Linked DNA regions of Canis lupus familiaris. The protein of the gene in region 1 interacts with the protein of each later gene in a pairwise test. Links are inferred from orthologs where the notes say so. Each region holds a gene or a part of one and is shown on either strand. Other genes may lie near its edges.

What was found.
Region 2: the proteins of HOMER1 (region 1) and C7H1orf116 interact in binary tests that used the Homo sapiens proteins (3 or more experiments, as listed by UniProt). The link is inferred for Canis lupus familiaris from reciprocal best matches to the Homo sapiens genes HOMER1 and C1orf116.

The regions. Positions count from the first base shown.
Region 1 is NC_049224.1:27,542,507-27,546,802, reverse strand, and holds the start of HOMER1 (homer protein homolog 1), read right to left. Parts: upstream 2,832-4,296; 5' UTR 2,817-2,831; coding exon 2,713-2,816; intron 1-2,712. UniProt on the Homo sapiens protein: Postsynaptic density scaffolding protein. Binds and cross-links cytoplasmic regions of GRM1, GRM5, ITPR1, DNM3, RYR1, RYR2, SHANK1 and SHANK3.
Region 2 is NC_049228.1:5,926,661-5,930,476, reverse strand, and holds part of C7H1orf116 (specifically androgen-regulated gene protein), read left to right. Parts: intron 1-1,173; coding exon 1,174-1,351; intron 1,352-2,919; coding exon 2,920-3,755; intron 3,756-3,816. UniProt on the Homo sapiens protein: Putative androgen-specific receptor.

The DNA.
Region 1 (4,296 bases):
CTGCTTCTTTTCAACACTATTTTCAACTGTCCTGCTTTACCATTTTCTTGATTTTTTGATAATAAGTGGAAATTCTCTGTATAAATCGAAAGCTTACAGATTTAATATCATAAAAACTGAGTAGCTTAAAAACTAGCTTTTGAATTTTAAAAAGTCAGTGACAAAAAAGTTGACAGTTTTTAACCTTTTGCACTTGGTATGATGTGAACTCTCAACAATTTCTCTTGTATCAATTAATGAGCACACAAATTACGGCTTCCATCATTTATGCCGAAGGAGGAAAGCCATAGATTGGATAATTCAAAATGAGAAATTCAGATATGCCACTCAAACCTGAAAGCAAAAGCTTAAACTTATAAATGCGTATATGGCAAATTCTTTGGTTATAGTTAACATTTTTGAAGGCTAAACATAGGGTCAGACACTGTTGTAACTGCTATCCCTGTGTTACTGAATCCTCTCAGCCTTTATGAGGTACTATTATTCCTCTCTTGAAGATGAGGAACCTAAGGTATATGGAGTGGTATTTGCTCAAGATAACACTTGGTAGAGCTGGCACACAAATATAATTTAGCTCTGGAGTGCCCAACTTTACCCTATAGTGACTCCTTGGATGGGAAAATAATTCTTTTGTCATGAGTTCACGCTGTAACCAAATGTTTGCATGGCCCTTCCCTCTAATTTTGTTGACAGAAGTGGGATAGTATGCTACACAACTATGGTTACTGTGCATGTTAAGCACTGTTGGGAGTATTTGTTTTCATGGAATGTATGTATGTTCACTGGTATCATTTATGTTTTACTTGTATTTTGAAAGCAATTTGTACTTTAAGACTTCATTGGAATGACAGTGTAGTTTGGAAGGATTCAATAACTTATTTTTAGTCATCTCAATTATCATAGTTCTTGAGCTTTCCTTCTGCAAGGAAACATAACTCTCTAATCTGTATTTTGACAGAATGGTTCCACCTCTGTAACAGATCACAGTAACAATAACAACAACAACAACAATAATAATGTTAGCCTGTGTGAGGGGAAAGCACTGGTCTTTGAGACTAGAAGTTATGAACTCCAAATTATCTCCTATCTGTTTCAGACACTGGCTAAATTTCATCACATATGGTATTTCTGAAAAGGATTACATGATAGGAAGAAAATGTATATTTTAACAAACTAGGAGCTGTACATGTGCAAAAATACTTTCTACTTTCTTCCCATTGTTTTCCCTATCTTGGTTTCTTTTTTGTGGCAAAAACATCTACTAAAGATTTAATCCTTCTAGCATTTCACTGAATATTTCACCTTGGGTAAAGGTGTTGTTCCAGGGAAATGTTCCCTTTCAGTTTTAAAAATTAAGTCCCTAGCTAGTTGTACTGTGGGGAAGTTGTGTATACTTCCAATAAGAGCCATCTGAGCTATTACAGAATTCACACATACATAATCAGAAAGGCTAAATTCCATAAGAACAAGTTCTGCAAAATGGGTTGTAAGAACTACTTTAGAAACCACTTATAAATTCCCTAAAAATGATGTGAATTAAAAAAAAAAAAAGGATTTGAGAGACAGAGCATGAGCAGGGGGACAGGCAGAGGGTGAGAGAAGCGAACTCTCCACTAAGCAGGGAGCCCATGCGATCCCATAACCCTGAGACATCATGACCTGAGCTGAAACCAAGAATCGGAGGCTCAATTGCCACACGTAGGCTCCCCGGTGATGTGACTTTTAAGACAGTTTTTCTTGTGAATCATCACAACTAAATATTTGTTGACATAGGCAGAAAAAACATACTTTACCAGGTAAAATTGAAAATAGTCAACAGAAAAGAGAAGTTAACAGACTTCAGTAAGCCAACAGGCTTTGAAATATAGGATGGCATAAAAACACTAACATTTGAAAAATAGGATTTATTGATATCCCCTTTCAAAGACTGTGGAAGGCTGAATAATGCCCCCAATGATATGGAGGTCCTAACACTAAAATCTGCGAATGTTACTTTATTTTGCAAAAGAACTTCACAGCTATGATTAAGTTAAGGCTCTTCAGATGGAAAGATTCTTCTGGATTATCTGGATGAGCCCTAAATGTAATCACAAGTGTCCTTATAAGAAAGTGGCAGCAGGAGATTTAACTCCAGAAGAAGGTTATGTGACAAAGGGAGGAGAGGGAGAGACTGGAAGATGCATACACTGCTGGTTTTATAGTTGGAGGAAGAGGCCATGAACTGTGAATGCAAGGAGTTTAACTCTAGAGGGTAAAAAAGGGGAGGAAACCATTTTCCCCTAGAGCCTCCTGAAAGACTACAGCCCTGCTGACACCTTGATTTCACCCTCAGTAAAACAGGCTTTGGACTTCTGACATCTAGAATCTTAACAAAATAAATCCATGTTGTTATAAGCCACCAACTTTGTTTTGCTACAGCAGACATAGGAGACTAACATGATAACAGATGACACAGTAGTCCTCCCCTTATCTGCAAGAAGTGTTTCAAGACCCTCACTGGATGCCTGAAACCAAAGATAGTACCAAATCCTATATATTGTTTTTCCGTGTGTGTGTGTGTGTGTATGTGTGTGTGAGTGTGTGTGTGTGTGTGTGTATGTTTAATTTATAACTTAGGCACAGTAAGAGATTAATAATAACTAATAATAAAAGAGAAAATGCTGTAAAAAAGTTTGATGTATGGTCTATCACAAAAAAATATACTGTACTCACCCTTTTTGTAATGATGTGAAATGATAAAATCCTATGTGATGAGATGAAGTGAGGTGAATGTTGTAGGTACTGTGACATAGTGTTAGGCTACTATGGACCTTCATCTCATCACATCTGCTTCAAGACTACAGTTGATTGCTGGTAACTAAAACCACTGAAAGTGAAACCATGGATTAAGGACTATGGTACAAATCTTCATCCGGTTAAAATCTATTAACTCTCCATTTACAGAATTAGTTTATTCTAAATTCTATTAAAAATAAATTTCTGATTTTATTCCTCAAATAATAGGTTGACTCAGTATGGGAAGAATTCCTGAAAAACAGCATAAAATCTTAATAGAAGCAATTTTGAAAATATTAAAGCACTTTTGGGCAATTTGTTTACCAACTGGGTATCTTCAACTGAGTGTAATTTGATAAAAATTAAAGCTCAGGAATAACAAATTATTGCTATGGGAAGAGTTACAGTAATTGCTTAAGAATAACAAGTATAGTTGAGTAGTGACTATTATTCTCCCCATTTCACCAAACTTCAAATCAATGTGTTATCCAGAAGTAGTATTGTTGCAAAAATGAAACAGTTGAAGGATGGGCTGAAGTGAAAACACAACATTTTGTTGAATTCCTATTACATGTAAACACCTTATATTAACATATATATATATATATATGTATACACACATACACACTCATTTTCATCTCAAAACAACATTAAGAGATAAAAAGAGTAAAAAAAAAAAAAAAAAAGACTTATTGGAGGAGGGGGGAGTTTAACACAAAGCTAGGTCACAGCTAGTGCTGGTATTTCTGGGATTCAAATGCAAGACTAAATCCAAAGCCCATGACTTTCACTATTTCCAAAGAAGTGAATGGTGTTTGTAATGAAAACTTAAATTTCCTTTTTCTTTACTTCTGAATAACACAGTAACCAACTCAAAATCTCTTAAGTTATAGACTTTTGTTATGTCATGTTAATACACTATTTTCTACTTCCTCTAAGACAAGCATTATCACCATATGCAATTATCACCATATAAATATTAAAAAAAAATCCTACTTCTTTCATTAGATCCTCTAATGAATATTTTAAAAATACAAAAATTCAGCACCTAATCAACAAATTCTAAATATCTAACACTTAAAAATACTATCAGCGCAAAAATCAATCAACAGAAACAGACACATAAATGGCACCTGAAGTCCTCAAAGATGGGAGGGATGGAAAAAATATTTGACAGCGGACTTCTCATCAGAAACACTATCAACCAGGAGACAGAAAAACATCTTAAAAATAAAGAAAGGAAAAAAAAAAAACCTCATCAAAAATTCTCTACCCAGAAAAATTTCTGCAAAAATGAAAGCAGATTTACAATAATGAAAAAAGCTTGGAACTAGACAGATACGATGTTTACAAAACACTGTGAATGTAACAAATGCTATACACTTTAAAATGGTTTATGGTTACTTCATGCATTGTGAATTTTATCTCAAAAAACATTTTCCTTTTAAAGTGAAGGTGAAATGATTTTCTCAGACACACAAAAGTTGAAAGAATTCATCATCAGTTGACCTGTACTATGAG
Region 2 (3,816 bases), on another chromosome or scaffold:
CTTAAACATGGAATTTTCACTCTTGTCAACAGACAGGTGGCTCCTTAAGGAGCCAGGGGAGCTGGTAGGGTTATTCCAACAACCATCTCCTAGGATATATTTAGGGCCATCTCAAAATCTTCCCAGGCCATCTGAGTGGGTCTGGAGAATATGTAACTCTGAAGTATCTCAAATATTAGGAAGAGGGTGGAGATACATGCCAAGAAGGGACTCAGGCCAAATCTCTTACATTTCCATTTGCCTTTTTGGTTTTCCCTTCAACTTTCAACTTTAGAGAGGGACTCTTCTGTGGATCTTGCTGGCCTCATAGGACACAAGCAGTAACCATTGGAAGTGGCCATAACACTCTTTCCCAAACATCCCTCTGTGTTTTTTCATCATGACAATTATCTACTTTAAAATCTACTTGATATTTCACACCATGTTGCCCTCTCCTCCTCCCACACCCGTCCAGTTTCTCTCCCCTCCCCTCCTCAAGTTAATATTTGCTTAAGAAATGCACACTTATTTGAATGTTAGCCAGCACCGAATGCCATCAAGAGAGCAAATACACAAAGGAAAAAATCCTGCATGGAATGCATTGCAAAGTCAAGTGTACATTATTTAGTAAATTTATCTGTGGCTACTCATACCACAGTTCCCATTGCCCTGCCGGCCGGTGGTTGGCCACAGTTTCTTGTTTGTCCCTCATACCGTCCTTGACATACCAGTCGCGTATGCAAAAGTACTTTGAAAGTTAAAAACAATACCGTTCAAGTTTAAGGTCAAATCATTCTGTTGTCCGTGTAATTTAGAGCTAAATCGGAGACACACAACGTGAAATGCTTGGCAATTCCTCACACAGAGGAATTGGAATTAGAACCTGGGACCGCTTCTGATCTGTTCCCCCAAGCCTTCCACCCAGGACTGAGCCAAGAAAGGTCAACTGCCACCTGGCTGCCCCACGATGGGTGCCCGTGGGCCCTCGGCCCCGCATCCCTGCGCCCGTCCGGGCCTGCGGTTTCAGGAGGCAACTCCCGCACAGTTTGCACAGTCTGCGGAGAAGCCTCCTGGAAAGGTTTCCAGCTCTTCAGCATTCCTTCAGGACGCAGGGTGGTTCTCGGGCCCCACCAGTTTCAGGGGAGCTCCCTCTCACAGTCCCTCATCCTCTCGGTCCTCCACGCCTCATTCCAGAGCGACAGCAGCTACGACTTCCTGTCCGCTGAAGAGAAAGAGTGTCTGCTCTTCCTGGAGGAGACCATCGGCTCACTGGACGCTGAGGCTGACAGCGGGCTGTCCACGGACGAGTCTGAGCAAGACGCAGCTCCCCGAGCCCCCCGAGCGCCGCCCGCAGCCCAGCCTGCCCCCCAGGGTAAGAGAGGCCCGGCTGGGGGAGCGCCTCTAGCAAACCCGGAGGCCCGGGCAGCCTCTGCTCTCAGGGCCGTGGGCTGAGAGGGAGCAAGGGCCTCCTCTCCCGCTCCCTCCCGGCTGGGATGAGGCCTTGTCCTGGGGAGGAGGACGAGGGACTGCTCACAGGCCAGCTTCTCTGGCTTCCTGTGAATGGTCAGAGGCCTGGGAGGGTTTGACCAGCTCCCACTCTCTCCCAGAGACATTCTGAAGAGACTTGACCACAGAGGTGGGGGAGGGAGGCAGGGAGGGGTGGGTGTTGCTCTGGGGACACTGAGTGATTCTGGAGAGCTAATCTGGATGATCCAGAAGAAGGAGGTTGCAAGAGATAGGAGGGAAGGGCTCCCTTAGCCTCAGTGGGTGGTACCTCGCGGCTCTTGTGAGGGAGTGTGCAGAGCCCGTGGTACTGAGGCTCAGGAGAAGGGGACAGGATGGTACACACGTGTGGCTGTGACTGTGGGATCATATGTCCCAGAGTGAGGCGGGCACTTGACTCCTGAGGACAGCCCGCTGGTACAGCGACTACGACCATTTATTCATTCATTTAGCAAACATTGATTGACAATGTGTGTGTCTTTTTTTTTTTTTTAAGATTTATTTATTTATTCATGAGAGACACAGACTGAGAGAGAGAGAGACAGGGACACAGGCAGAAGGAGACAGTCCAGGCGTCCCGACAGTGTGTTAGGCCCTCCGTGGACATAGGCCAGTAAGTGGGGACGAGGACGCCACTGCTTCCTGAGACTGATTCCCTGGCCCAGGGGGCCCGAGGCACCTGCCTCGCTTGCTGGAAAAAAAGAGCCCAAGTCACTCTCCAGTGTGGGGACAGCTGTGGCCATCACAGAGCCATTCAGGTGCTCATAGAAAGTGAAGGTGGGGGGACACCCGGGTGGCTCAGTGGTTGAGCATCTGCCTTTGGCTCAGGCTGTCATCCTGGGATCCGGGATCGAGTCCCGTATCGGGCTCCCTGCACGGAGCCTTGCTTCTCCCTGTGCCTGTGTCTCTGCCTCTCTCTCTCTCTGTGCATGTCTCTCATGAAAAATAAATAAATAAAATCTTAAAAAAAAAAAAAAGAAAAGAAAGTGAAGGCGGAGGAAGGCAAGTCTGGTCACAGCAAGAGCATGTCAGCTGTTGGTGCTATTCGCGTTCAGTTTCCCCAGGACTCAGTGACCTGGGGCGCCCCAGGATAGCTAGCGGGCTGTGCTGAGTCCCCGCCCCCCCCACCCCCGCCCCGTGTTTCTGTAGAGGGCTGGGAGGAGCCCGAGGCCAGGACGGAGTTCTGTGCAGCTGCTCCTTCCCCAACCGCCCCAACCGCCATGAAAAATTAATCCTTGGTTGTAGGGAGTCGGCTAGTGTCCATCTGCCCGTGTAAGTGATATCCAGGCAACAGGGGGCCCCTTAGAGAGCAGAGGCTCCGCAAAGCGCACACCCCGCGGCTAAGGCGAGGTGGGAGCTCAGGAAGGATGTGTCTGCCCTGGGCAGGGGGTTCTCACTGCACCCACTCTTCTGTGCTTGTTCTCCCGACCCTCGCAGGACACCCAGCGGAGAGGAGCGCGCCCCGCGGCCCAGAGCCCAGGAGAGGGCCCCCGGCCGGGCCGCCCCGCCTGCCTGAGCCCCAGGGCCTGGGCCCCAGGTCTGGCTCCTATAGCCTCCCCAGAAATATCCGCATCGGCAGTGGCCAGGACCTCGGGAGGAGCAGCCGGCCCACCAGCGGCCCCGGGGAGCCTGAGCACCGGCCGGCGGGCCCAGGCGCTGAGACTCAGGCAGGCGGGGCCTCCCGTGACGGCCACCCGGGGCCACGGGCCCTCAGCCCCCCGGCGACAAAGGCCATGTGGCAGGAGCCCCAGGAGGGCGGCCCCGCGCCTCCCCCCACCCTGGGGTCCCAGGCTGCGAGAGCCCATGATGCTGCCAGCCCCGCGGGCGCGGACCCCGGTGCCCGGCTGGCCCCACTCCTGGCCCCCAAGCCCCGGAAGCTGCCCCCCAATATTGTCCTGAAGAGCAGTCGGAGCGGGCTCCATGGTGAGCCCCAGAACTGGCTGTCCCGCCACCCCGACGGCGGCCCCGGAGACTCCGGCCCCGCCGCCACCTCGCTGCAGGAGCAGAGGAGGGCGCGCCGGGAGGCGCTGGAGAAGCTGGGGTTACCCCAGGACCAGGACCAGCCCGGACCCCACTTCAGTGGCCGCGCCGGCTGCCCCGGCCCCCGGCCCAGGCCCGGCCCCCAGGCCGCTGCACCTGCTGGTGCGGCTCCGGGCCCTGCCCCCACGCGGGCCCCGACCCTGACCTCAGCCCCGACCCTGGCCTGGACTTCGGCCCCTACCTCGGCCCCGACCCCGGGTCCGACCTTGGCCCCGACCCCAGCCCCGACCCCGGCCCCGACCTCGGCTCTGACCTCAGGCCCCAACCCCGGCCCCGACCCCGACCCCGGCCCAG